4 linked regions of the Mytilus edulis genome follow. The protein of the gene in region 4 purifies or fractionates together with the protein of the main gene of each other region. This does not show direct contact. Links are inferred from orthologs where the notes say so. Each region holds a gene or a part of one and is shown on either strand. Other genes may lie near its edges. The genes, in order: DNA-directed RNA polymerase III subunit RPC9-like, DNA-directed RNA polymerase I subunit RPA43-like, DNA-directed RNA polymerase III subunit RPC4-like and DNA-directed RNA polymerases I and III subunit RPAC1-like.

What was found.
Region 1: the proteins of DNA-directed RNA polymerases I and III subunit RPAC1-like (region 4) and DNA-directed RNA polymerase III subunit RPC9-like purify together in Homo sapiens (affinity purification with mass spectrometry; 5 studies listed by BioGRID and IntAct, counting the BioPlex papers as one, with this or other methods). This does not show direct contact. The link is inferred for Mytilus edulis from reciprocal best matches to the Homo sapiens genes POLR1C and CRCP.
Region 2: the proteins of DNA-directed RNA polymerases I and III subunit RPAC1-like (region 4) and DNA-directed RNA polymerase I subunit RPA43-like purify together in Homo sapiens (affinity purification with mass spectrometry; 3 studies listed by BioGRID and IntAct, counting the BioPlex papers as one, with this or other methods). This does not show direct contact. The link is inferred for Mytilus edulis from reciprocal best matches to the Homo sapiens genes POLR1C and POLR1F.
Region 3: the proteins of DNA-directed RNA polymerases I and III subunit RPAC1-like (region 4) and DNA-directed RNA polymerase III subunit RPC4-like purify together in Homo sapiens (affinity purification with mass spectrometry; 6 studies listed by BioGRID and IntAct, counting the BioPlex papers as one, with this or other methods). This does not show direct contact. The link is inferred for Mytilus edulis from reciprocal best matches to the Homo sapiens genes POLR1C and POLR3D.

What each region holds. Positions count from the first base shown.
Region 1 is NC_092344.1:6,443,871-6,451,185, forward strand, and holds the start of DNA-directed RNA polymerase III subunit RPC9-like, read right to left. Parts: upstream 3,009-7,315; 5' UTR 2,865-3,008; intron 557-2,864; 5' UTR 435-556; coding exon 1-434. UniProt on the Homo sapiens protein: DNA-dependent RNA polymerase catalyzes the transcription of DNA into RNA using the four ribonucleoside triphosphates as substrates.
Region 2 is NC_092350.1:28,387,083-28,394,134, reverse strand, and holds the start of DNA-directed RNA polymerase I subunit RPA43-like, read right to left. Parts: upstream 3,015-7,052; 5' UTR 2,848-3,014; coding exon 2,657-2,847; intron 1-2,656. Other genes in the region: cytoskeleton-associated protein 5-A-like, read left to right, coding at 5,436-5,492, 5,987-6,180, 6,968-7,052. UniProt on the Homo sapiens protein: Component of RNA polymerase I (Pol I), a DNA-dependent RNA polymerase which synthesizes ribosomal RNA precursors using the four ribonucleoside triphosphates as substrates.
Region 3 is NC_092352.1:32,783,631-32,791,295, forward strand, and holds the start of DNA-directed RNA polymerase III subunit RPC4-like, read right to left. Parts: upstream 3,026-7,665; 5' UTR 2,881-3,025; intron 1,506-2,880; exon of another isoform or gene 1,503-1,505; 5' UTR 1,494-1,502; coding exon 1,414-1,493; intron 422-1,413; coding exon 299-421; intron 1-298. Other genes in the region: tyrosine--tRNA ligase, mitochondrial-like, read right to left, coding at 6,491-6,534, 7,518-7,643. UniProt on the Homo sapiens protein: DNA-dependent RNA polymerase catalyzes the transcription of DNA into RNA using the four ribonucleoside triphosphates as substrates.
Region 4 is NC_092346.1:91,463,939-91,471,333, reverse strand, and holds the start of DNA-directed RNA polymerases I and III subunit RPAC1-like, read left to right. Parts: upstream 1-4,383; 5' UTR 4,384-4,480; coding exon 4,481-4,543; intron 4,544-5,550; coding exon 5,551-5,622; intron 5,623-6,994; coding exon 6,995-7,102; intron 7,103-7,395. Other genes in the region: AP-2 complex subunit sigma, read right to left, coding at 770-871, 1,643-1,816, 2,313-2,462, 4,298-4,300. UniProt on the Homo sapiens protein: DNA-dependent RNA polymerase catalyzes the transcription of DNA into RNA using the four ribonucleoside triphosphates as substrates.

The sequences.
Region 1 (7,315 bases), on a different chromosome or scaffold from region 4:
TAAGTTTGTTCCACAGAATCGTCCTCGTCTTCCATCTCTTCATCTCCAGCGTTAGATGCTTCTTTTGTTACGTTATATTTTGTTATGATTTCTAACAGCTGATAAATCTGGTCTTCTGTTAAACGTTCTTCACTTTCTTCTATAATCAATTGAATTTCAACAGCTGATGTTGGGCACTGATTCAAAATTTGTAGTTTTTCTGCTTTTGTTAAATTAAATGCTTGCAAATCTGTCATGATGTTTTGAATAAGTTCTGGACTTTGATTTTTGCAAGGTGTATTTTCTAGATATTTAACAGTTTCATAGGTAATAGTTGCAAGGTTTTTCTGGTGCTTGTTTGGTTTGATTTGTCCTCTTCCAGTGTGAATGTCAGACAGGAGTTGTAGAACTTCATAATTACTCAGTATAGCAGAGTTGTCATTTTTCACCTCCATTTTACTATAGTATGATTTATAATCTATGAGGTTGGGAACTGCTTTTCTAATGTCCTGATGGATATAAATCTACCAGCAGCTATAACATATACCCAGGCAAGCAACACAATCACAGCTAGTAACTGAAAATTAAAAAAATTAAAATAAATCTACTAGCAGCTTAAACGTATACATACCTGGGCAAGCAACACAATCACAGCTAGTAACTTAAAATTAAAAAAAAGAGGTTTATTTAGAAACAAAGTTCTTATTTCAATGTATAGAAAATTAAAGTGCTAATCCTAAATTGTTTTTATTTTTGGTCCTACTATCATGATTATGGTTATTTTGAACTTCCCAACTGACTCTTTAACTTTAATTGTTTGTTTATCATAATTTATGACAGAAGTCAATCTAAAATATATTGTATTGTAACCAGAGAGAATGAATTTCATTACAAAATTGCTCGTCTCCACCTGGACGCGAAACTAGGACCTCTGTTACTAGGCAGTGTGTTAACCAACTGAGCTAAAGAAGAACTTCCTTAGCTCAATCGCTTACAGCTGACTTAGTATCTACCAAATGTTCTAATGGACGAAGTACTAGTTGTCCTGTCACAGTATATTAGAAAAGAAAAGATATTGGTATAAGATAGAGCATAATTGTCAATGAGAAAACTCTCCACATGAGACCAAATGACTCAAAAATTTAACAACTATAGACCACATGTACAGCTTTAAACACTGAGTTAAACAAATACCTACTAGTCAGCTATAAAAGGAGCGAAATGACAGATATAAAACAATTAAATCAAAGTGAAAATGATTGGCCTGCACAGCAAAAAGCACAAAAGGCATAAAAACTGTGCTTTTATTGTTGATCATAAGGTGACATTGTGACCATTCAACAAACAGCAAAAACTCTCAACTCACAGCAAGTTTAAGGTGGGCACTAATGTATAAGTCAGGGCCGTAACTACATTGAGGCAAATGCCTCATGTTGGAAATTTAAAAAAACAAAACTGAAACAAAAGATTGTCTTCATATCAAGTTGTTTTCATAGAAAGCGTCTTGCAATCTGAAGCAAGTTCTCTTCACTCTCTGATGTCGCACCTGCATGTTTTTCGTGATCCATGTTTCTATTTTACTATTAGTTTTCAGATTTGATGGTCTATTGTTTGTACTGTGTCCTGGGTTTGTCTTTTGTTCATTTATTGTCCTACTTTATGACGATAGTATGATTGTTGCTTTTCATTTGTAAAAGTGTGGTTTTGCAATGTTGCATGTCCACTGATGCCCAGACATTGTGCAAGGAAATATTTTGAGAATACACGATGCTACTGGACACAGAAAAAAAATGGTCGTTTCTGCATGAAGAATTGAACTTGATTTCAAAGAATACAAAACTGTTTTTTTTTTTTGTAGATAAAACTAGATAGCTGACAAGGTATAAATTAAAGTAAGACCACCAATTTTCCGGTATCAAATCATCTACTAAAAAAACATCAATGTTTTACCGTATGACCTTTTCATACATTGAAGGATTAAACTTGCATTTAATAAGTCGTGTTCAGACCCTTTAACAAAAAATAAAGAAATGTGTAGTAAACTTGCACGGGACCTAATCTAACACAAAGTCAATGCAGAGAAAAATACAAATGATCAATGGTCAAAGTATTTATTCCTGCTCTTCATCTTGATAGTTGCTGGGGGGTCTTCAACAATAAAAGAATCATTAGTAACTTCAAACAAGGTCAAGATGGTCCTTAGTGTCGACTTAAGCAGAACTAGTACTTAAAGTATAATACTGCACTGTCACTATATTTAAATCTAGTCGTAAACAAAGCACAATACAAGACAAGAACAGACAGATCCGATTTTAATTATAATGAGAATTACGATTTTTGCTTTATCCTACATATCGGTCTACCTTTAAAGCTGTCCACGTAAAACCCAAGTCTTAAATTACACTGAATCTATGTATTGAGACAAGAATATTGTTAAAAAAAAAATAGCTAAAAATTGATTTCGTTTTAATGTAAGAAAAAGTCTGGGAAACCCTCAGAATGCACGATTTTGAGGGTTTTTTTTTCAGAGCTTCTTCCGGCCTTGAGTGGCCCCCAGACCCCTCGCCAAAATTTTTCCACATCGCTATGCTAGGTGAATATATTTTGCTTCACTATTATAAGAGGCTAGTTACGGACCTGTAAGTTCATTCAACCTTGGTGTTGACTGGCTAGCGATTACAGTAGTAACTACTTAGAACACTCTGCCACAGAGGCCCACGGCGTCATATGACAAAACTCTCATTATAAATCTGAAATGTGTATAAATCTGAACAACTAAATGAATTTTGTAAAATGAATCTAAAAAAATCGAGTTGTAACACGTTTAGGTAACTCATTTTTACATTTAATTAAAGGATGTTTGATTAATCAAAAATGATGCTTACAAAATTTAATAATCCGTGTATGGTGGTTTTACTGACAACAATCATTTTTATCTAATATTGACACACAGACTTCATTTACAGAATCTAAACATTTCATTTGTTTTTACTGCAAATTCAGGTGTAAAAAGACCGGAAGTCGGATATGGAAAATTAAATATCGATCTTAAAAATATTAACGGAGAAACAACGAAATATTTTACGCATTTTACTTTTGCAATTGTTCTTAAAAATACAATAACAATGCTGTCTTCATATTTTTTTTTAATATTCTCGCGTTATAATTTATGAATAAATGTATTTTTACAATTTTTGTTGGGAAATATTGATTCTATGCAATTTAATAGCAATTATCCGGAATACGATGTAATTAACGCGAAACTCGATTTCCTTGTTAGAATTTCACTGTAAATCGATTGGTGACGTCAGATGATGCTGACAGCAAATTAGTTAACCAGTTTCTTCTATTTTACTCGAAAATGCATTAACGCTGATTTTTTAAATTACGGTAAAAACATGCCTAACACCAAAATTTTTATCTAATATTTTTAAAAGTAGCAAAAACATTAGAATCATGTCATCTGTAAAATTATTATTCTACCAAATATTATTTACCAGATCGTCCTTAACTGTACAGTTAAACCTGCTTTAATTGTCACCTTGTTTCAGCGGTCACCTGCCTCTATAGCTCATTTACAGATCCTCCATAACAATTTCACTAAATATACATGTTCATGTAACTCTTCAGCGATGACTGAATCCAGGTCCGTTCACCATGATTCATGTTCGATTAGATTCAGGTTTGCCCTGATTCGCTTTTGCCCTAGTACCTGTTCGCCCTGATACATGTTCCCCCTGGGTCCACTTCCCTGATTTTATTTGTTTTCCTTTTTTGCTGTCTAGTGCATAATGTTTATTATCTGAACAGAATATGTTTAACCCTCTTGCTGCCATATGTTTTTCAGTGTTGCATTTCATGTGCCAGGAAACATGACTGCTCGATGATCATGTTTGTGATGTGACATGCCAAACAATGACGTCATTCGATATATGAAGTCATGTCGTAATGATCATTACATTTGAGAGCCATTGCAGAAACATATTGCACTTTTTAATTTTTGTCGAGCCTGCAACTTGTGTTGCAGAAAGCTCGACATAGGGATAGTGATCCGGCGGCGGCGGCAGCGGTGTTAGCTCACTTCTTAAAAGCTATATATTTTAGAAGGTGGAAGGCCTGGATGCTTCATATTTTGTATATAGATGCCTCATGTTACGAAGTTTCCGTCAGTCACATGTCCATTGTCCTTGACCTCATTTTCATGGTTCAGTGACCACTTGAAAAAAAAGTTCAGATTTTTTGCAATGTTAAATTCTCTCTTACTGTAAGTAATAGGATAACTATATTTAGTATGTGCGTACCTTGCAAGGTCCTCATGCCCGTCAGACAGTTTTCACTTGACCTCAACCTCATTTCATGGATCAGTGAACAAGGTTAAGTTTTGGTGGTCAAGTCCATATCTCAGATACTATAAGCAATAGGTCTAGTATATTCAGTGTATGGAAGGACTGTAAGGTATACATGTCCAACTGGCAGGTGTCATCTGACCTTGACCTCATTTTCATGGTTCAGCGGTTATAGTTAAGTTTTTGTGTTTCGGTCTGTTTTTCTCATACTTTATGCAATAGGTCTACTATATTTGTTGTATGGAATGATTGTAAGGTGTACATGTCTAGCGGGCAGATGTCATCTGACCTTGACCTCATTTTCATGGTTTAGTGGTCAAAGTTAAGTTTTTGAGTTTTGGTCTTTTTATCTAATACTATATGTCATAGGTCAACTATATTTTGTGTATGGAAATATTTTATGATCTATATGTCAGTCGTGCAGGTTTTATTTGACCTTGACCTGGTTTTCAAGGTTCATTGCTCAGTGTTAAGTTTTTGTGTTTTGGTCTATTTTCTTAAACTATAAGCAATAGGTCAACTATATTTGTTGTATGGAAGCATTGTTAGCTGTACATGTCTGCCTGGCATATGGTTCAACTGACCTTGACCTCATTTTCATGGTTCATGTTAAGTCTATGTGACGGTTGTAATAAAGCTTTAGATTTAGGAGTATCAACATAATATCAATGATTAGTAAAGAAGGCGAGACATTTCTGTGTGTGCACTCTTGTTTAATTTTTAAAGAATTTCATCAATGATGAGAAGCTTGCATAAATTAGAACATGGACATATATGTCCCTATGGCACAGTCGGTCTGGACATATGTGTCCCTCTGGCAGCAAGAGGGTTAAGTGTGTTGAAATATTTGCCAAATATTTGTATTGCTGCAACCAATTCATTAGTTTCCCTTTGATATGCATAGACTAATAGAATATATTTATTGATGTTTGTTAACAAAAATATTCTTTACATTCCGTATATCGTCAGATTATCGGAATTTCAATGGGGACTAACTGTGCACCACTTATTGCGGACCTGTTTTTGTATTGCTATGAGTTACAATTTATGACAAAAATAAGCAAAGACCCATCGAAACAACATCTTACAAACAAATTTAATAATACTTTTCAGGGTTGGCAAAAACCCGGGTTTTATGAGTATTGCCCTGCCCAGTGGGAAATACTGGGAAAACCCGGGTTTTACTGGGTTTTAATGGGTAATACTGGGCAATACTGGGTAATATAAAATACTTGCCTGAAATTTAAACTCAATTGCAATACATTTAAGATATTTATAAACACATTTTGATTTATAAATTAGTTTACTTGTTTGAGAGTGATAATACATTTAAAAAGTACTATTCTTGCAACTATGAGACAAGTAAATATGTAGTCACACATTACACAAATATTAATGGAAAAGGCCTTTATCAATAATTCTCTTCTGAAAGTCTATTAAATCACCCTCTCGTCTAGATTGGTCAAACTGTTAACATAAATTCAAAGAATTCATTTTTCAAATGTATACATGTATATCTTACATTAAAAATTAACAAGAAAATGTAAGAAAAATTACTTTTGTATAATTTATATGTACATCACTAATTAATAAGTAATTATTCAGATTAGGACATTGATATGTTTATATAACAATATTCAGCCTTTTCATTTCTATAAGGGTTAATGACTTGACCCTAAGGGTTAATGACTTGACCCTGTAGGGTGTTTATTTACCAACATGATTGCATAGACATTTAAATTTATAATTCACATAAACACTGCTATAAAATGCATTTTTAGCTCACCTGGCCTAAAAGGCCATGTGAGCTTTTCTCATCACTTGGCGTCCGTCGTCGTCGTCGTTAACAATTTTTCAAACAACTTCTCCTCTGAAACTACTGAATGGATTTGAATGAAACTGAACATGATTGTTCCTTAGTATATCCTGCACAAAATGTGCGCTTCGATTTTTGATCCGTCAAAAAACATGGCCGCCGTTACTTAAAATAGAACATAGGGGTCAAATGCAGTTTTTGGCTTATATCTCAAAAACGAAAGCATTTAGAGCAAATCTGACATGGGGTAAAAATGTTCATTAGGTCAAGATCTATCAGCCCTGAAATTGTCAGATGAATCAAACAAACCATTGTTGGGTTGCTGCCACTTAATTGGTAATTTTAAGGAAATTTTGCAGTTTTTGGTCATTATCTTGAATATTATTATAGATAAAGATAAACTGTAAACAGCAAAAAAGATCAGCAAAGTAAGATCTACAAATAAGTTAATATGACCAAAATTGTCAATTGACCCCTTAAGGGGTTATTGTCCTTTAATGACAATTTTTCACAATTTGTTCATCATATTTGCTAACTTTAAAAAATCTTCTCCTCTGAAACTACTGAATGGATTTGGTTAAAACTTAGCATGATTGTTCCTTAGATTATCCTGCACAAAGTGTGGGCTTTGATTTTTGATCTGTCAAAAAACATGGCCGCCGTTACTTAAAATAGAACATAGGGGTCAAATGCAGTTTTTGGCTTATATCTCAAAAACGAAAGCATTTAGAGCAAATCTGACATGGGGTAAAAATGTTCATTAGGTCAAGATCTATCAACCCTGAAATTTTCAGATGAATCAAACAAACCATTGTTGGGTTGCTGCCACTTAATTGGTAATTTTAAGGAAATTTTGTAGTTTTTGGTCATTATCTTGAATATTATTATAGATAAAGATAAACTGTAAACAGCAAAAAAGATCAGCAAAGTAAGATCTACAAATAAGTCAATTTGACCAAAATTGTCAATTGACCCCTTAAGGGGTTATTGTCCTTTAATGACAATTTTTCACAATTTGTTCATCATATTTGCTAACTTTAAAAAATCTTCTCCTCTGAAACTACTGAATGGATTTGGTTAAAACTTAGCATGGTTGTTCCTTAGATTATCCTGCACAAAGTGTGTGCTTTGATTTTTGATCCGTCAAAAAACATGGCCGCCGTTACTTAAAATA
Region 2 (7,052 bases), on a different chromosome or scaffold from region 4:
AGTTCTTTGATATGAAAAAACGTTACCTGATGATTTCATATCTTTGTTTACATTGAGTATGAGGTCAAATAATGTTACAACTAAAATCCAAATCAACAGAACAAAAATCAGAAAAGTCAAGGTATTTCCGTTTCTTTTTTTTAAACAGATTTTAAAGTTAAACATGTTAAAATTATGTTTGAATTGAAAAAAAATCATAGACTTCATCCCCTTTCACAGGTAATGCCTGCCTCAAATTAGTTAAAGTTGTGACTGAGTTCGGAAATACGAAGAAAGATTTACCATGTTTCTGGGACTATCATACTAACAGGACTGGAAACCATTACACCAATCAGAATATCTAAATCACAGTCGTTAGAACGAGACTTTACCTGCGCTATTTATGGATACGCCATATTGATTTGATAGTGAAAGCGTGCCTTGATCTTATAATTTCTGAAATTATTTTTTTTATTTTATAGTTATTAGAAATGATAATCCTTAATATAATAAAATTGAGAATGGAAATGGGGAATGTGCCAAAGAGACAACAACCCGACCATAGAAAAAAACAACAGCTGAAGGTCACCAACAGGTCTTCAATGTAGCGAGAAATTCCCGCACCTGGAGGCGTCCTTCAACTGGCCCCTAAACAAATATATACTAGTTCAGTGATAATGAATGCCATACTAATTTCCAACTTGTACACAAGAAACTAAAATTAAAATAATACAAGACTAACAAAGGACAGAGGCTCCTGACTTGGGACAGGCGCAAAAATGCGGCAGGGTTAAACATGTTTGTGAGATCTCAACCCTCCCTCTATACCTCTAGCCAATGTAGAAAAGTAAACGCATAACAATACGCACATTAAAATTCAGTTCAAGAGAAGTCCGAGTCTGATGTCAGAAGATGTAACCAAAGAAAATAAACAAAATGACAATAATACATAAATAACAACAGACTACTAGCAGTTAACTGACATGCCAGCTCCAGACTTCAATTAAACTGACTGAAAGATTATGATTTCATCATATGAACATCAGGCACAATCCTTCCCGTTAGGGGTTTAGTATCATACGATCATAACATATATGAGAAGAACATAACCCGTGTCATGCCAACAACTTGATTACTATAATGATAAAAGTTACCTCGATCTTTAACAGTTGTTATTAATCACTAAATCCGCCTTAAGTGTAAGAAATAACAAAAAGATTGAAATTTTCAGGATGAAAATGACGTGGGAACGATGTGGAAAAAAGGAGATGATTAATTAAATTTCTTATAACTTTTGATTGAAAAGAGATACCCAAGTTGGGTTTGTTGTGAAATCATATTCATAGGTTATAGTTTGGATTTGCCTATTTTTATTGTCGTTTTAAAGTGACAAGTGGAAAAATATCTCTTTCTCATTACAACCGGAACCCACATGCACGGCTTAAATAAATTTTACTGTTCCTACAAAATTGCCTACTCCTTTTTAAGTGTGCAATATTTTATTATAATCAGGGTTAATTTTGCTTAGTAATGGTCTTCAGGTGGCATTAAGCATATGACTTCGTGAAAATAGACTAGGTTCCACAATTACAACTACAAAAGTAGGCCCGATGATGCACAGCCATATTGAAATTTTGGTGTAAACACGAAGTTCACAAAAGTTTAAAACAATGTGGCTATATTTTCATGAGACCAGGGTAACTTTTGTTATATGAATTAATTAGGAATTGAAATTGTCAACATTGTTTTTATTGCACACATATTGTTTTCATCAGGATTATTTATGATCTGACAACCTTTGACACGTTGTTATCTTAGCGGTCAAGTAAAGTGCTGCATTTCGACTATATCTGGTTTATCATGTTTATTTTCAACATTACTATATTGACTACTTCTTAATATTTTTTCGTAAACAATATCTGGTTTTTGCATTAAACTAATTAGCTTATTACAGGGTATGAAATTAGCAGAGGCCCACAGGCCAATGGCCCCTCTAATTTAGTGTGGGCTGCTTAAATTTCTGCTTTTCTTGTAAATTAGACTATATTTGGGCTACAAACTTTAAGCTGTGGGCTACAATTGCCAAAGTCTTAAGTTCTATCCCTGTTTAATAATTATTCTTTATTTCAAGTCCACCAATTTTAACTGTTTTTCTATATATATGCTGACTTGTTTGCCGAAATCTATTGTTTACATGTACCGAATGCTAATTTACTACATGACACAATACGCTGTCAACCAAAACAAAAATCAATAATCCGCTATTGGGGCAATGAAATCTCAACAGATTGTTCAGTTTGCAGACCCTTAAGTACGGTATAATAAATTTATAATACACCTTATCGCTATTTGTCCGCCATTACTGCATATCACACAGGTTCATGTAAAATTTTGACGTCATAAAACAATATATCTGACGCAACAATGGAAAAGTGATTGATGTATGCTCAAAAGTTCAAGCGGCCGGGTCAGCTGGGATTAGCAATAAGATGTATAGTCCCAGCCATGTTTACATTCGTAATTTGGACTCTGTAAATTCTTTCCCATTTTTACAGTCTCAATTTTTAAGGTAAAAACAAGTTGTAACTGTAGAAAATTTCATTGCAAAAAATAAAAGTGGTCCACAGAAAATTTTCAAAAAAAGGGGGGAGGTATTCAAACCACTTCGAGTTCTTACCAGCTTGCAACTAACTGCAGTTCTGAGTTGAGATGTTCTCTCACTCCTTGTAAAATACTGTTGAAAAACTTCGGGGGTAAAACAATATGTCGCTTAGATGAAACTGCTTCAAGATGGGAAAAAGAACACTTTGAAATTAGTGATTTTGCCTCGGAAAATGTCAATCGTGTATGTTCCATGGAAGCTGCCATTTTTTTTTCTAGAGTTCGCGAAAGTGTGTGACAAAATTTGGCTTTGTGAAAAATTGGTCAATGTTGAATATTTTTTTTGAGTTAAAAAAAACCCTAAGAATATTGATGTATAAATACTATTCTGAACTAATTAAAGTAAAATTATAAGTTAATCCAAGTTTATAGATGGCGCCACGAAACTTCCGGTTGACCGAAATATTTACCATTCAAATCCAGCGCTCATATGAGATAACTAAATATTTATATTGCATATATGTAAGTATGCTTTTGATTTGATCCCTACCAAATCACCACTTGAAACTGTTAGGATAAATTGCTTTGATATCCCCTTTTGTTTTTGCAGGTCCCCTTTTTTCTTACTTGTAAAGTTGCCAACTGTCATAATCTGATGTCAGTGATTCATAATATATGTTTACTGTCAGATCATGAAATGAAATAAACTCACAACATTTGCAAATAGCAATATATGTTGTATTTTCTCCTGGAGAGGTGTTGACCTGATTTGTTATCCGCCTTATCATACAGTCTATAGCCTATAGTCTATACACCTTATTGCTATACACCTTATCGCTATTTGTCCGCCATTGCTGGAAATCACACAGGTTCCCGTAAAATTTTGACGTCATAAAACAAAATGTCTGACGCCACAATGGAAAAGTGATTGTTGTTGACGTCAAAAGTTCAAGCGGACGGGTCAGCCGGGAATAGCGATAAGGTGTATTTGTCCACCATTACTGGACATCACAAAAGTTCTTGTAAATTTTTTACGTTATAATAGAAAATATCTGATGCCACAATGGAAATAGTTTGAGAGAGACAGATTCTCTGTTCAGTCGAGAATAGCAATAAGGTCTATTCCCAGCTGAACCGAAAATTTGTATTGCTTGAACAATTGACGTCATACAACAATTACTTTTCCATTGTGGCGTCAGATATTTTTATTATGATATAAAAAATTTACAGGAACCTGTGTGATGTCCAGTAATGGCTGACAAATAATTATGACATCTTGAAAGGCTATTATACTTTTTCGCTTTCACGCCTTGCACGTTGTGCATTCTCATTGCTTTGCTGGGTTAGACATGGGGGATTCAAATGAATCTGAAGGAGAGAAGTTTTTTTTAGTTTTAACATTTTGAGCCTTAGGCGCTGTTCCCTTGTTTCGCCTCAAGCTAAGCAATTAAAATTCCTGAGGTTTAAATGATAGAGATAAAAGCAATTATAGTTAACTTATAACCCTACAGTCTACAGTAATGAAAAAAAAAAAAACTCATACTTTATATTCATGAAAGGCCTAGACATAACGATACATAGAGAATAATACATGGCAAAATCTGTATCATATGTCGTATCATCCCGAGACATCAATATCAGCCCAAGGGCCTTTAGGCCCGAGGGATGATATTGGTCGAGGGTGATACGGCATGTGATACGGATTTTGCCATGTATTATACGCTTTATCATATGTTTCAACAGAATAGTATTATATTATATGAACTGTTTTCTGATCCATAGCACTGGGTTACCTTCAGTTCTACTTTTGTCTTGTTTCAAAGGCTTTCAAAAGTACTGCTCAATTACTTATCCGAAGCACCTGGGCTACCTTACAATTTGCGTGCTGTTGTTTAAAAAAAAAATGTTTATTATTGTATTTATTTGTGTGTTTTGTATTTTTTATAGTTGCAATTAGTGTGCCAAAAAATATGAAAACTTGACGTTCGTGACGTCAAATACAATATGAAAACTTGACGTTCTTGACGTCAAATACAATATGAAAACTTGACGTTCGTGACGTCACATACCAAACAATGACGTCATTCAAAAAATTGACCTATTTTGAGGAAAATTTTTCTTAAGCAAAAAAAAACAAACAAAACTGACTTTACATGCTTCATATAAAAAAAAAAAAAAAAAAAAAAAGTAGGGGTGTGATAAAGGGTAGAGGTGTGATAAAGGGTATGCGATAAAGGGTATGCGATAAAGGGTGCGCATCAGAGTTGCGCGATATGGATTAAACAGCAGGCTATTTATCAAATATGCAAAACTACTGTATTTACTACTTAACATATGATAAAAACAATAAAACTTTAAATTATAATAATATTAATGTGTACATGGTATACTGTACAATTTATGAAAAACAAATAATTTGAAATATGAACCAACAACAACCACTGAATTTAGGACTCAAACCTTGAGACAGTATAAACATAAATAATGTGGTGAGGTTAAACATGTTTGTGAGCACACAACCCTGCCCATGCCTGGTGTTGCATCACAACATCAGAACAAACTGTAAAAAATATTTTACTTAATAAATCAATATGAAGCACAAATAAACTGTAAAAGCACCTAGCATTGAAATACATGTACCCTCCCTGATTTCATGTTCTGGAATATGTCAGTCTTATTGACATATTGATTATTAATCACAGAGTTGTGTCATTGAAATCTTAATATTTACAAATTACGATAGAATCATATTAATTACATGTAAATATCAGTATATTCCTTCAAAGCAATATTTTTTTTCTAACATGTGTAAACATTCATGACATTGTATTTTCCAGGAGTATTATTAATCCATAATGGGAGATGACAGTGAATGGCTGAAACTTCCTGCTGAAGAAAAGTGCCAGCATAAGGTAAAATTAAACTTTACAAAGATATAGGTCATGTAGGTTATGCATGTTATATATACATATAAAATTTATGTTATCCCAAACTAAAACAAAAATTAGTGCACATTCAACAGAGTTAGAGTAACAACATCAAAAGCAATCTTAGAAAAGCATAACTTGGTCATGTTAGCAGGTTAGTGCAATGCCAGTCTGCACCAAATTCTTTTCCAACTACAAGTCAGATGACCAATATTCAGACAACTTTCTTATGTTTATAAACAAATATTTACAAATACTTACTATTAAAAATGATATTCAATTAGTCTTGGGACATCCATCTAGTGGTTAACACTAAATGGTGTAGACTGCAATGCCAAAACTATTAGTATCATTTTACCTTATGAAGGATTCAAACTGGCTTGGACCTGAGTTACCTACCAATTGGGATTGAAAGGGAAGTGTAAATGGAAGCTTTAGTGTTACAGGAGGAAATTAACTTATTTGTTTTTGTATTATAGACATGGAAAGCACGTCTAGCAGGATATGAAGAAGTTACAAAGATATTTAGCCAACAGACTGATCCCAAGTCTCCTGAATTCCAGCGCTATGCTGGCCTTATGAAGAAGTTTGTCACTGATACCAATGCTGTGGCTCAAGAAAAAGCATTGGATGCTGTTCTAGCATTTGTAGAGAATGCTGCTGTAGCATCCAGGTTTGATCATTTTTGTATAACTACAAGATAATATTTAGTTTTATATCACCATTCTATGGTATCATGACATCTATGGATTTATTGTGATGTTTGATAGCTGTCTTGTTGACAAAGGCCCTAAATCTGAAATATCATAAATACTAGATTTCAGTTCAGAAATTATTTTGTTTCATCATATGATTGGTAAAATTAGTATCTTACAAAATTTCTTTGCAAACATATTAGCATGATTTCAGGACTTAGACTTTTACTTCGAGCATTTTAATCTATAGATATAAGAATTTGTCGTATGAGTGCCAGTGAGACAACTCTTAATATCCAATTCACAATTTGTAAAAGTAAACCATTATAGGTCAAGATACAGTCTTCGACAAGGAGCCTTGGCTCACACCTAAAGTAATGGTCTTATCTATTTAAAAAACTAGAAACAATTATGAATCACTTCAACAAACAACAACCACTGAACATCCGGTTCCTAGCACTCAATAGGATCCATATTCTTATTCTAATACATCTACACTGTTATTGACACAAAAATCTTTGCTTAAATTAACTGGATAATATTTTGTCTACTGTATTTAACATGATATAAAAAAAATTGCAATGATTGTTGAAGGCGTCAAGGAAATTAGTTGGTTATAGGGATTTTGGTCCCTACCTGGGAGTGTTTATGTTTTAATGATATTTTTATTTACAATTGGATGCATTTTTCTTTTGGAGACTATAGCATAACTATGAATGTGCGATAGTGACACAAGGTTTACAATATTTTACATTTTATTTCCAGAGTAACTGCTGATGTAGTAAGTGGTGTGATAGCTAAATGTCTTGGTGCACCAAGGCAAAAGACCAAAGATAAAGGAACAGAAATT
Region 3 (7,665 bases), on a different chromosome or scaffold from region 4:
TTTTCTCAGTATGGTTCAGTTGCTACTTCAATGAGGTACAACTGATAACTCCTTTAATTTGTGTTTTCTACACAAGTATTAACAAATAAAACGATGACTCTGTGTTGGAGACAAGCAACCAAATAAATAAACAACGTGTTAATCAACTACATCATATTATATACCAAACAGTTTTCTGTATAATCATGAGGTTAAAAAATAATGTTATTCTTTTCAACAATCACAATTATAAATAAATGCAAAAATTCTAGAACATACAGCAGATTCACAAATGAACAGTTTAACTGCTTATATTTACTTGGACTGATCTGTTTTCTTATCCTTTTGCTCAGCTGGTTTCCGTACCGGGATTGTGGGTGCAAATACTTTCTTAGGAATTCCTCCAAGAGTTAAGTCTCTAGGTCCTTTTAAAGAGGGTAATCTGCAATTGAAGCAAAATGAACATTGTGAATGCTCAAATAGTAACATCAAGGATATTATTATAGTTTCAATATAGTTTAATACATGTATTGTAAACAAATAAAAAGATGGCAAAGAATATTAGGTCTCTATACAAAATGTAGGAATCTAATGTTCAGTAGTTGTCATTACTGATGTTGACATTTCACATTTTTTATTTAGATTAGACCGTTGGTTTCCCTGTTTGAATGGTTTTACGCTAGTAATTTTTTGGGGCCCTTTATAGCTTGTTGTTCGGTGTGAGCCAAGGCTCTGTGTTGAAGACAGTACCTGGACCTATAATGGTTTACTTTTATAAATTGTGACTTGGATGGAGAGTTGTCTCATTGGAAATCATACCATATCTTCTCATATCTACGTAAATTATTATTGGAGATTAATATAAAACAAACATTTTTTATAAGGTGTGGAAACCAATTTAACCCCTTAGTACTGTGTCAACATGGTCAAGCAATTTATATCTTACACATAGATATGCTAAAAGAAAATATGAAAATTAGCTAGTTAGATTATCTTTGTTTAAGTTTCATAAACAAAGCAATTTGTAAAAAATAAAAAAAACATGATGTTGAAATATATAGGCAGATTGGTAATTCAAGTGTCAAATTATCTATGTACTGGTATAATTCAAAGTGTGGGTGTTAAGGTCGAAGTTACTTACTGCAGGTTATGTGAAATTTACCAATAAACAAATGGCATTTTTACTGGACACTTCATATATTTGAAGCATTCTATAGTATCTAATGCTCACATTTAAATTGGTCATATGGTTTTATTTTGTGTGCAATTTAATTTTACCAGTCAAATAAAAACTAATTTAAAATGCACTTTAATAAATCAAATGTAAAAATATTTGTTTTAAATAAAGTGTGAAAATCTTCTATATACCCAAGAGAGTTATGATAATAATAATATAAACCTTACTACAAATCTGTTAAATAACATATATAATACCTTGCTCCTTTTCCTAATGGAGTTCCTCTTCTATCAATTAACCCTCTAGGTAGATCTGGTGTATCTCTGCCTTCAGCCATAACTCAACTCTGAAATGAAAAGGAAACCTGTTTTATAGAACTTTGTGACTTGAACAGCCATGATAGGCTTAGAATTCTTTTTAAAAGCAATTTCCAAGAAAGGTATATTTATTTGGATCGAAAAGATTGTTCGACATGCGTCATACAAAGTCGAGAAATTTAAAACTGTCAATTATCCCTAATGGGCCAAGAATTTATTATGGACAAAATAATTCACAAAACTCTGTAAACATGATAAAAGGAAGCCTTACTTATTGTCCCTTTTTTATATAGCAATTCACCAACTAAAACATGTAAAACATTAATACAAAATTATTTAACAACAAGAGGCTGTCACAACGACAGCAAACCGGATTTATTAACATTTATTTGTATCCTGCCAATATCACAAGAACCATAACTGATGAACGGTGAAAGTGAAAATCGTCAATATCAAATTTGACCTCCATTTTGTCATCAGTAACATCATATTAAAATTTGAAAAGCTTTGGTTGAACAGTTCATGAGTGGAAATGCCATTTTTCAATCTTTCAAGAACCATAACTCCTGAACAGTAAAAGTCAAAATCGTCATTATTGAACTTGACCTCCATTTTGTCATCAGTAACAACATATTAAAATTTGGGAATCTTTGGTTGAACAGTTCATGCGTAAATGCACGGACACGACTGGAAATGCCATTTTCCATTTTGTCATCAGTAACAACATATTAAAATTTGAAAAGCTTTGGTTGAACGGTTCATGAGTAAATGCACGGACAACATTTGGTTGCCGACCGCCCCGCCGTACATCCCCAAATCAATAACCGACATTTTTGTCACAAAAATCCGGTTAAAAAGTCTTTGAAAGGCCAGAGAAAACGAAGCTATACAGTGTTAAGGTATGAATATGATATCCCTATATTTATAGCAATACACATGATACACCAACTAAACATGAATACAAAATAATTCCACAAAAAGCCTTTGAGAGGCCAGAAAAAACAGAGCTACAGTGTAAAGGTGTGGGATGGGAAAATTAAAGGAGTGATCATGAATTGGAGTGAATATGATTTTTGGGAGAACAGATGCAGATTTGGGGGTTGGAGTCTGATGTCTCTTAATTTTAAAATAACATTACACAATTAAAAAAAATTCTATCTGAAATTTGCTTTAAACCTACCAGGTGACATGGGGTAATATTTTTAACATGACATTTTAACCTATGTAAGGAGGCGCCTTACAGGAGCAGACTGCAGAGTTACAATTTGATTCACTAAATTATAATAATTTTTACTTGAGAGGTTTCAAATAATTGAATATAAGTTGAGAACAGTGGCGGATCCAGAACTTTTCATAAGGGGGCTCGCTGACTGACCTAAGGGGGTCATAGTAAGTTGTATTAGTAACCTGAAACTTTCAAATGGTACCAAATAGTTATGATCTCTCTCTTAAGTCAAAAATATCGAATACAGGTGCAATCGGCCAATCCGTGGAGGGTATTTTTTGGAACTGGGAAAGAAGCGACTATTCACGCATCTGTTTACTTTTCACTGTTATGTTCCTCCTATTTGAGGAGCACTCCCGAAGGATAATTTTATCAGTTATTGAACGCATTGGCGGATCCAGGAGGAGGGTTCCGTGGGTTGGAACACCCTCTTTTTTTGGACGATCAATGCATTTGAATGGGGACATATAGTTTGAATCCCTCCCTTTGTCCTGTGTTTGGACCCCCTTTTAAAATGGCCGGATCCGCCCTTGGAACATATATGAAGATTTTCAAAAATAAGTTTAATATTAGTTTGTTCAATGTTGTGGCATTTAGAGTAATCCATTTGATGTCACTCATAAACCAGGTAACACCTTTTTATATAGGGTGTTTAAAGATTAAAATTTAAAGATATATTTTTATCTTTTTATTGTAAATTATATATTAATTGTACATGACGGGGGCCGAACAGAAGAAGTCTTTTTATTGATATATCATTGTGTATTGGATTAAACATTATTTGCGTATAAATATTATGTGGTGATGGATACTATTATATATGACTCCATTGGAGATGTGCCTACATTGGCAGAAACTATTTTAATACAGATCTATAGGCCATTGTTTGCAAGTGATATTCTTATGCTCTAACATTATTAGACATTGATAAGCATTAGAACTATTATGTAGATGCTTGAGTGCCATGTGTATAAATTATTTGGCTTTCTACACATTAATATCTTATTAAAAATATTAGTCACTTTCCACAATGAGAACCTTTATTACCTGTGAGCACAGCGAAAGAAAAAAAAAAATTCATTGTGTTAAGCAGTAACCATTTTCTCACAATGACTTTATTGAAAAGCAAACTTATGCTCAACGGAACAAAATACTGTAGAACTGGTTTACAAACTGATCATTCCTATCCCAAATTTTGTTTCAAGGTAAAATATTTTCTTTTAAGCATGTATTTCTTACACAGCTTTTGCTTAAAGACCTTGGTTCTTTTTTAAATGCATAGGGGCAAATTCAAGTAGAAAAAAGTTGACCCCAGGCTTAACTAGTGAGAAAGTCTTGATTGCCATGTCCCAAACAATCATACTAAACTGTGATATAACCTCAATTTTGTTTTTTTCAATTTTAATATGTTGAACTGTATTCCGGTTGTCTGCTATCATAACTGATCTATCCTTGCAGGAAACCAGACAATAAATACAACTAAGATCTGTAACAAATTTTGCGTCTACTTTAATTTTGATATTAGCTTTATCAGTTTTCGTTACTTGAGGTTTACTTGAAACAGTTAGCTTGATTATTTTGCTCTCAAGTTTACTCTCTCTTTTGAATTCCTGTCTGATCATTTCTGCCTTATACTCCTCTTCTTCCATTACATCATGACCCCTGTGAACTTTAGTCAGACACTTCAGACAGATAAATTGTTCACAAGTTTGACAAAACAAACAACAGACCTGTCCATTATGTTTTTGACATTTAATGTCACTGAGTTTGAAATATTCCGACGATTCTTGACACAGCCCTACATCTTTTATATTTATAATTCTGTGATCACTGACACTTTTAATTTTTAGATGAAATTTTTCTTTACATCTATTACACAACAATAATGAACAATCCAGACATTTCCATTCAATCTTCGTTTCTACTTCACAAAACTGACATCTTATAGGTATCTGTATGGAAAGCCAACGGGGTCAAAATTCGTGATTCGTAACTTGTCAATTTGTAATTTGTAACTATGTAATTTCTAAATTCTTAATGCATAAATCGTCAGTTTGTAACTTGTACATTTGTAATTTCAAAATTAAATTTGAAATTCAAAAATGTGAGAAAAAAAATACCAAATTTCTTTGACTCCTTATTGTCTGATGACTTTCAAAAGTTCACTCTGATGTTGTTTACATGCTTATCTGTGTTGAAAAGCTGTTTCATTGATAAACCAGTATGTGGAAACTTTGGAGGTCCAATGGCCAGTGAGATACTTTCATGTTCTCTTTGCCTCATGATGAATATAAATGAACTTGTATTTGTATCCAGATGTATAGCTATTGAGGTCTATTGACAATCATTCAAAAGTAGACATAAATGTCATCCAAATTGACCTTTTCTGCTATGTCAGCTAGAAAAGTATATTCAGTAATTTTTGGAATCCATAGTTGTTGCTTCATGACATTTATAGCTTGTAGGTACCACAAACTGTCTAGACAACTAACAATTGCAAATGTTTTTCTTCAATAAATAATTTCCTTCTTTTTTTGTCAGTATTTAATGTTTTGCGGGTGTACTGCAACTGTTCTCCTTTCATAAAATCTCAGGCAGGCAGAACTACTTTGGTTCTAATGATTAAACTGGGTCCTAAATGTGTGTGTGAAAATTTCATAAATTTATCAAAAACCAATGGCATTTTCATTTTCTTATACCTTGAGCTCCAAGGGTATCACTTATCTGGCCATGTAAAATTTAGCTAAACAACAGGTTAAAAAAATCCTAAAAGCCCCCAAAAAATCAAGTTGTCCTCCCTTCAGTAGTAGTCAAATTTGACTACGAGTGAAATGATTTGTCGATCTAATTTGCTTGTTTTCATATCTATCATATTATTGCTTCCATTCATTAATGTTTTCAAATGAAATAAATAAGATAAATGAATAATGTGTCAATAGGACACAGTTCCCTCTGCTTGTAAATACACGGCAAGTTCTGCAATTTTTTTTATTTACAAAAGCGACACAACCCAAGAACAGCAAAGTGACCCCACTCAAATTCAAACTTGATCTGTGTTTGGTGGTAATAAGCTTTATGTATAATTTTTATGACATTTGGATGGAGCAAACTCAAGTTAGAGTGGGGGGAAGACAAATTTAGCAAAAAAAAATCATTTTCACTGTGGCGGGGGCATAAAAATACGAAAAAAATGCATAGAAATAACCAATAAAGAACAATAAATTAATAAGTTTGATGGATTTTAAACAGTATATGTTGACTAGATAATTATTTGGATTCAACCACTTTGTTCTATTTTTAGCCAAAGTAGAAGTGTGAGAAAGTTAAAAAAAAAAAGTATATTAGTAAGTTGTCTTTAATGCCATTTATCGTTTTGCTGAATGTTGTAAAGCATCTATATGAATAGATTTAAAAGTAAAAGGTCTTACTTTCAAAAATATTGTATGCATGTTTGTTTATAGTATGCATTTAGTCACATCTACCTTTATTTACTGAATATAAAAAGAACAGAGGAAAATATATTTGTAATTTTTCTCATTGTTGAAGGCCCTACAGTTGCCTATAATTGCTTACATTGACTTCATTTGAACTTTTGTGAATAGTTGTCCCATTGGCAATCATACCACATCTCCTTATTTTTATATCTTCAAAGGCATATTAAAAATGTGGATAAGTTGGCCCAAAAAGTTAATGTTATATCTGATGATGCATGATGAATAAAACAGGATAATTGTCAATAAAATCATTTAATATAAATAAACATTTTGTTCATATCTTCATCTTGGTCCTTTGTCAACTTGGAAACAGCCATTCTATAATGTAATGATTCTTTTTACCTGTAAATAAAATTGAAAAATAAATACTTCATAAAAACAATTTGACTTTTTGTCATCAAAGTGGTGACATTATGACACGATCTTATCATGTACCTATGGTGTTAACCTCACTTCATCATTTGGAAATAGTATAAACTGACCATTGGCCAATACAAAATGTTTTCTTTGTAAAGCAGGTTGTTTCAACCCTTCCAGAGCACCTGACACACTCCAAGCTTTGGTGGCAGTATCATGTGTCTGCCTTTGTTTTGGGTTTTTTCTGTGTGCCTTGTTCAGTGAAGTTCTTGACATTTTTTTCAACTGTAATTATTTGCTATGTATTATCTTTTTACCATTTGATATATGGATGTGTCTTTTTTGCAAGAAAACTCCAACATATGCTATTATTATATTTACCTGCTGATAGTGATTACCAAATATACACATACTCGGACTTCTTTTGAATTTGTTTTACTGTGCATATTGCTGTGTGTTTGTCTTTCCTACATTGGCTAGAGGTATACCAGGAGGGTTGAGATCTCAAAAGACATTTTAACCCAGCAGCATTGTTTTGCCTGTCCCAAGTAAGTAGTCTCTGGCCTTTGTTAGTCTTGATTTTTGATCTTAGTTCATTTATATATTTCAGAGTTTAGGCTGACGTCAATTAACACTTAACTAGAACACATTTTTGTTTAGGACAAGCTGAAGCACACCTCTGGGTGCGGGATTTTCTCACTGTGTTGAAGACCCACTGGGGTCCTTTGGCTGTTTTCTGTTTTTTGGTTGAGTTGTTGTCTCTGTGACATATTCCCAATTTCCTAATTTTACATGTACACATACATTATACTCTGATTTTTGCTGTTAAAAGTCTTTCTACAATAACATTTCCAAGAATTTAAATATTTTTCACATGTGTAATAAACAGGGTTTGATGTAATGGGCAATCAAAGTATTTATTAAAACCAATGTAATAACCTTCCATATTAATTTCATTTTCAACCTACCTATCCTCAACAAAGTGATATTATTGGCTAGGATATGAGTCCCTGGTAAAAGTACTGTGTCAGGATTAGAGACACGTCCATGGTTAACATATACACCTCCATCTGTTATAATTCTATTGGCATCAACTAGAAAAATAATTTAAATCTT
Region 4 (7,395 bases):
CCCTTCCTACACCTCCTCATCTATGCAACTGATCCAGAGGCCTCTTCAGTTTCATTAGGGTCTTACCAAAATGCTATTATAATAATTTTTCTTAGCTGCAATTAGATTTTGTATATCTAAATTTCCTTCCCTTTCTGATAGGTATATATATATAAGTACGTCTGAGTCAGTGACAACTCTACACGATATCTCAGTAGCATGGGTTCAAATCCCGGCGAGGGATGATAAAAAAATTTGCAAAAGCAAATTAACCGATCTAACATTGTTGGGTTGATGTTTAGACGAGTTGTATATATATATATATATATGTAGTTCTCCAGTAACCATGAAACACGAAAACATGCTGGAGGATGCAATAATATCATGTATTTACATTAACAATAACTAGGTGAATTTGGAATGTATCATTCATATGAACAATATCTATTAACGTTCTCATTATTTTCATGTCTCAACAAAACAACATTTTGATAATATAATGATAACTTTTATATAATACAACGAAATAAAAAAAGTTCTACACTTTCCACTCTAATCACTTCTAGCTTTTTTCTGTTTTTTTTAGGCAAAAATCACCTTGCAATCAGATACTGTCCTCAGAAACATTACTTGTTGTTTTACATATGGATTATGACATCTTTATCTAAATAGCCAATTATTGTAACATTTCTGTTAAAAATAACCAACAAAGTTCATAGTAATAAAATCATACACAATAAATGACATCTGTCTACAACACTTTGGTCTATTAAGTCCTATAACATAGTATTTACTCTAATGATGATAACATAAGAAGTTGTTTTAAAACTTTTGTTTGACTTGTCTCTCGAATTTCTCCTGCTAAAAACATCTCATCCACTACACTGTAAACCTAAAAATAAAACAAAATAAATATAACTGAAGATCGAAGTTTCCCATTAAATAAACTGTTGACACAAAGATATGTCTTGTCTGTCAGCAGAAAATTCAGGAATAATCTTATAGATAGCTACAATCTTATTAAATCAAAGCTGCAGGACCATGACCTAGGACAGGGCCTCAATATGGTTGACAAACTGGGATTTTAAAACATTTAAACTGCAGCATTTGTTTGCACCTGTCCTAAGTCAGGAACCTGTTGTTCAGTGGTTGTCGTTTGTTGATATGGTTCATAAGTTTTTCTCCTTTCTTGCTTTTTGTTGTTGGTTTTTTTTTCTTCTTTTTTTTCTATAAAGATATGATAGATTAGAACATTTGTTTTCCTGATTTCACTGTACAGACCCTTATAAATTGTATGAAAACCATAGAAACCAATTACTTAAAATGTTGAGGCTCAACAAAGAGGACACATAATATAGAAAATAAATAGTTAAAACTTCTTAATGGAAATTCTGTAATTGCATGACTTGTTCTGTCAGTTACAACATCATGAATTTTATAAGATTGATAGATTGATTGTTGGTCTTTAATATCACTTACAGCACACTTGGCTAAGTCATGGTGACAAGCTTTATTGGTTGAGGAAGCCGGGACCCAAGAGAAAACCACCAACTTCAAAAGGAATACTGTCATTCATATATCTATTAAGATCCTTTTATTCAACTTGTATAATTATGAACACAAAATAAAGGTTTTATGTTGAGACACAATATAAATACTTTACCTTATAAAAGTTGAATACAAGATCTAATTCACAGACATTATGGAAATATTCATTAAGCACTTCTACAAAATTGTGTATTGCCTCTAAGTATGCAAGATTGTTGTCGTTTACATCAACACAGATACAGAAATATAAACCAGCATATCTTCTGTACACAATCTTAAAATTCCTAAACTGCAAAAAAAATTACATATTATTATACACAGGTATATCTATTACAAATAACCCTTTAAAATACAAAAAAAAAACAATCTTTGGATTGCTTGAACATAAACTACAGGTAAGCATTCATTATTTTGTACATTCATTTTGGCCTTTAGTTTTCTTCTTTAATTTTTTTTACATTTGTCATTTCAGGGTCTTTTATGGCTGACTTCCCAGTATGGGCAATCAATGTTGAATAGTCATGATAGTTGTTAATTTCTGTGTCATTTAGTAACTTGTGGTGATGTTTTTCATGTATTTCAACTGGTAATAAGTGCTAAGTTTCAAGTTGATGTTTCAGCATTTTTAAGATACACCACTTGAAACTTACTGTGTCCATTGTTTTTCAAGAATTATATTGCATCACACTGATCTTTTAGTACAAGAGACCCTTCAAAAATAATTGTTTGTTTATTCATATGATGGGTATTGTACATGTGCTAGTATCACACAGCATACAATGTACCTCTACAAAATTAGTGTGTTTAGCATCACGGACAGTAACAACAGCATGCACTTCTTCAATTAGTTTCTGTTTTTCATCATCATCAAAGTGCATATACCACTTAGCCAGACGCGTTTTGCCAGCCCGGTTCTGTATCAGGATAAAACGAATCTAGAAAAAATGTATTGTAAATTTACAGTTAATACCATAAAGTTAAATAGCAGCAAAAGTTTAATATAATAGCTTCATTAAATTACTTGAGCAGACTGCTGGACATTGGTCAACATCCTGGTGTTATTTTTCACAAGACCAGTAAAGATAAAAGTATCTTATGAACCTTTGAAGTGGAAGTCAGATGTCATAGATTCCCTGTGCCTTTGTGAAATTGCCTCTTGAATAATTCAGAATACACATAACTCTAAAATACAGCTTCAAAATATATAGGTACATACATGTACATGTAACATGTCCTTTTAATATGTTAAATTTCAGCAATCGTCAAAATGGTGTGCATAATTGATGATTTTTTCAAGTGGTGGACATAACTTGAAAGTGGTCTATCCAACCAGTAAATGTGCGACATGAATTTGGTGTAACAGACCCAAGGCTCAATTAGCGCACATGTAGGGTCTGAATGTGTTTGTAAGTGAACAGACAGATACCAATTTAAGGTAGCACAATACAAAGATTTTTTCACTCCCAATCAGACAACTTTAAACTGATGTAATTCATTTCATCCTTCTTTATATTTTATAAATGAAGTACCAAAAGAAAGAAGAAAGATCAATCTTTCAAATTGTGATAATTTCATTATGACATAACTATTACATAATTAATTATTATGTAATTAGTCGCTATATTTTGATGTCCACACTTGAATGAATTTAGCGTCTTTGTTTTTCATAGCATCCCAAAATATTTTATAGATTCTTGTACAACACAGCTTGACCTCCAAAACTGTGTCTCAGATTTCCAAAATCATCAATAGAACAAATTTTATACTCAATTGAACTAAGTGGTCTCTAATGAATTGATGTTGCAAACTTCATTGAAGATTTATGAGAGAATGAAATACAATAGGAAAAATCTGAGACACAGTTTTGGAGGTCAAACTGTGTTGTGCAAGAATCTATAATTTTTTTTAGGATGCTATGAAGATATGTCTTAATGAAATTATCACAATTTGAAAGAATAATCCTTCTTCTTTCTTTTGGTACCTCATTTATAACATTTAAAGAAAGATGAGTGGAATTACATCAGTTTAAAGATGTCTGATTGGGGATGAAAAATCTTTGTATTGTGCTACCTTTTATGCACTAACATAACTTACTTAACCCTTTTGCTGCCAGATGTTTTTCAGGGTTGCATTCATATGCCAGAAAATATGACCGCTCGACAATGTGACATGCCAAACAATGATGTCATTTGATATATGATGTCATGCTGTAATGACCGTTACATTTGAGAGTCATTGTAGAAACATATTACACTTTTTAAGTTTCAGTCTTTTATTTTGAAAGAGGTACAGTAATGATGAGAAGCTAGCATAAGTTAAAACATGGACATATGTGTCCCTCCAGCACAGTCGGTGTGGACACATGTGTCCCCCCGGCAGCAAGAGGGTTAAAACTGTGTGCGCCTGTCAGACAGAAGTAGCCCGGGCAACAGAAGTTAGAACTTTATTCTTTCAGACTTTCTGCAGAAAGTAACGACTCCCGTTTTTTTTAAGAAGAAGCAGAGGAAAAGCATCAATAGGCCAAGAACTCCCACAAAATATTAAATTCCACCACTCAGAAATTGTATTGTAAGTTATACATTCAAATTTTTTTAGCATTGCTGTCAAAAGTGACAGTGTCAACAACACTCAGATCAAAATGTGGATCTCAACTCCGAATACACCTAGCACTATTGCAAGTTATTATCAACTGAGAAAGTGTTACGGCCAAATAATGTGTGTTCAATCATGAATAAATGCCTTAAAATATAATAAAAAGAGGCTGTGTTACCATTTCTGAATAATTTCGTATACCGGAAATGATTAACCTCCCACATTCAACGTCAGGAGAACGTTTTGCACCAAGGAGTTTTACGTTGCTTCAAAGCGTTCAGATGATCTTTATAAAGGAGGACCAGCACATGGAGCTGTTTACAAACATGCATGTAGCTTAGAAAAAATACCCAAGTCTGACATGACAGACCTAATAGATGACGTCAGGAGGAAAGTTACTCTACGGGAGCATGCTGTAGAAAATGTATGTTTTTTCAGCATTTATATGGAACTAGTATACTATAGTAAAGGTTGTAAGCTTCTGGTTAATTTTGAGTCTTATAATTTCTGTATAAAAAGAGGAAAAGATACATGTCCTGATCCTGTTCCTAAAGCTTATAATATATGTTGAAACAATAGACCACTTTCGAGTTCATCCGTCACTGGATAAAACTCGTCAATTATACGTGTCTTTATGAGGTCATTTACCAGATATAATAATCTGATAGAGGGGTCGCCTGTATCCCTGCACTATTCACGTTCATCTAGTCCGAGATTACTCTGAGGTCCAACGGCTGTTTTGTCAGACAAGCTGGGGCCGTGGGACGTCAGAGCTCGTCCCATATCAAAAAGTGGATATTTGCCCACCCAAAATAGATGCGCTGCTTCGTCGCTTCTGGTGCCGACTGACGGCCTTGGAATTAAATAAATCAGGCATCAATCTGTTCATTTTTCATTTATCTTTTCATTTATGTAAGTTTCACCTACCTGCCAACTTTTATTTTTCCATATTTTAACAGTTTTCACAGAGACCCATCGATTTTTCCATTTGCCTTTCATTTTCAAAGATTATCACGTGACTACGAGAAAACAGTGATGATTTATGCAAATGACCATAATTTGTTGAATAAATGGTGTATTTGGAATTAAAATTCGCTATATACATTGTACACAAGTCATAATCACACCTGAACTTTGTCATTATACAGGGAATAACACTATGAAATTCAATCATCGGCCAAAAAATATATAACTACAAGTAGTCTCTGGTTGTAGTAAGAAAACCAGGACAGGTTCAAACAAAGATTTTGAAAGCAGAGAAAACTGTGTGCACCTTTATAATCAGCATGACTTTATCAAATGAGTTAATGACCATATGAATACTCAAAATAAATTCAGTCACAGACCTGATAGGTTGTGGGTGTGTAATTTATGTTAAGATACTTATTCTAAATATGTAATAAAAACATAACTCATGAATTATATTTGTAGACACATAGCTCTGACTTTCCTGGAAATTATGAAGATTATGATGACTCTTGGAGTCAGAAAAAATTTGAAAAGGTAAGATTTGTATAGGTTACTGTCCGGCCTTCAACAATAATTGAAACCCACACCTCATAGTCAGCTATAAAAAGCCTCAAAATGACTAATGTAATGCAATTCCAAAGAGACAACTTACTGCCTGATTTATTTACAAAATAATAATGAAATACAAATATGATATTTAGCAAAAAACATCAACCACTTAATTACAGTTTGGGACAGGCACATACAATGTGGCAGTTAAAGTTGAACTAGTTTTAAGGCGCCAACCCACCACTAAACTTGGACAGTGGAATAACAGTACACCGTAAAATTAAAAACAAGCAACAAATATAAGTTGCAAAGTATTTAAAAAAAAAAAGAAGTAAATTATAGTAAAGCAAAGACATTAAACTAATGAAACAATGCATTTTACATGTACAGTCAAACCTGATTAAACCGGACCCTGAATAAACCGGCTTCCTGTACATTCCGGCCGAAAATGAAAGTCCCATTTTTTTTCCTTCAAAGTCTTTGTTAAAATACCCTTTGTAAACCGGACCCTGTGTATTCCGAATTCCGGTCTAATTATGAAGTCCCAATACTCTTAATTACATTAATTATTACCTGTCAAAACCGGTTTGTCTAATTAATTTCACTGATCGATATGCAATCAAAACATAATTGTTTACTTTATACAATATGACTTTTCAGGATAATTAATCAATTAGTCAGGTGTTAAACTGTGAAGTGAACTTTCAATCGTACAGTAGTGAGCTGTATTATTTATTAAAACATTATAAACGTGTCAATTAAACGACAAGACACACCGAATATATCTCGGATTTAACTTACGTTTTGTAACGTTAACTTGGATAAACAAATTTAAATCGCAGCATAAGAAATTTACAACGTGATGTCGAAACCCTGGGTTCCCTGCTGTGAACCCCTAAACAAATGACCTTGATAATGAAAACCACCCAGATGACAACAATCAATGGGTATAGTAAACTGTACGACAACGTTTCAATAGTGATGAGATTACGTTTGATAATATTCTGGCTTTTTGATCGGCCATTCCAACATTTCAAATAAATGATCATGGAAGTAAATCGAAACTCTCGTCTCACAATCCAAACAACGCGAGCATTAGGATGCAAATGTAAACAATGGAAAACGAAGTGAAAATATTTTAATTGATCAGATATTCTTAACTATCAAAGAGAACTTTTATATGCAAACTATCGGACGTCACAAGTCATTAACTTCCGGTCGATACGGAAACCTGAATAAACCGGCTCACTGCCCAAACCGGCCCTTTTTCATAGTCCCGTAGCCGGCCGGTTTATACAGGTTTTACTGTAGTTTGTTAGAACAAGGTTATAGTTGTAAACCAATTATACTTTTTTAGAAGTTCAGAATTGATATGGTAAAGATGAGCCATGATGAACTTGAATTTGATATGGTAGGAGTAGATGCTTCTATAGCCAATGCATTTAGAAGGATTCTTCTTTCAGAAGTAAGTAAAAAATAGCAGGTTACAAACTCACACTAGTAATGCTTCTATAGCCAATGCATTTAGAAGGATTCTTCTTTCAGAAGTAAGTAAAATATAGCAAGTTACACCCAAACTCACACTTGTGTAGACACGTTAGGAGTTATGCTTCTACAGCCAATGTATTTAGAAGGATTCTTCTTTCAGAAGTAAGTAAAAAATAGCAGGTTAAACCCTAAATCTCACTAGTGATGCCTCTTTAGCCAATGCATTTAGAAGGATTCTTCTTTCAGAAGTAAGTAATAAATAGCAGGTTA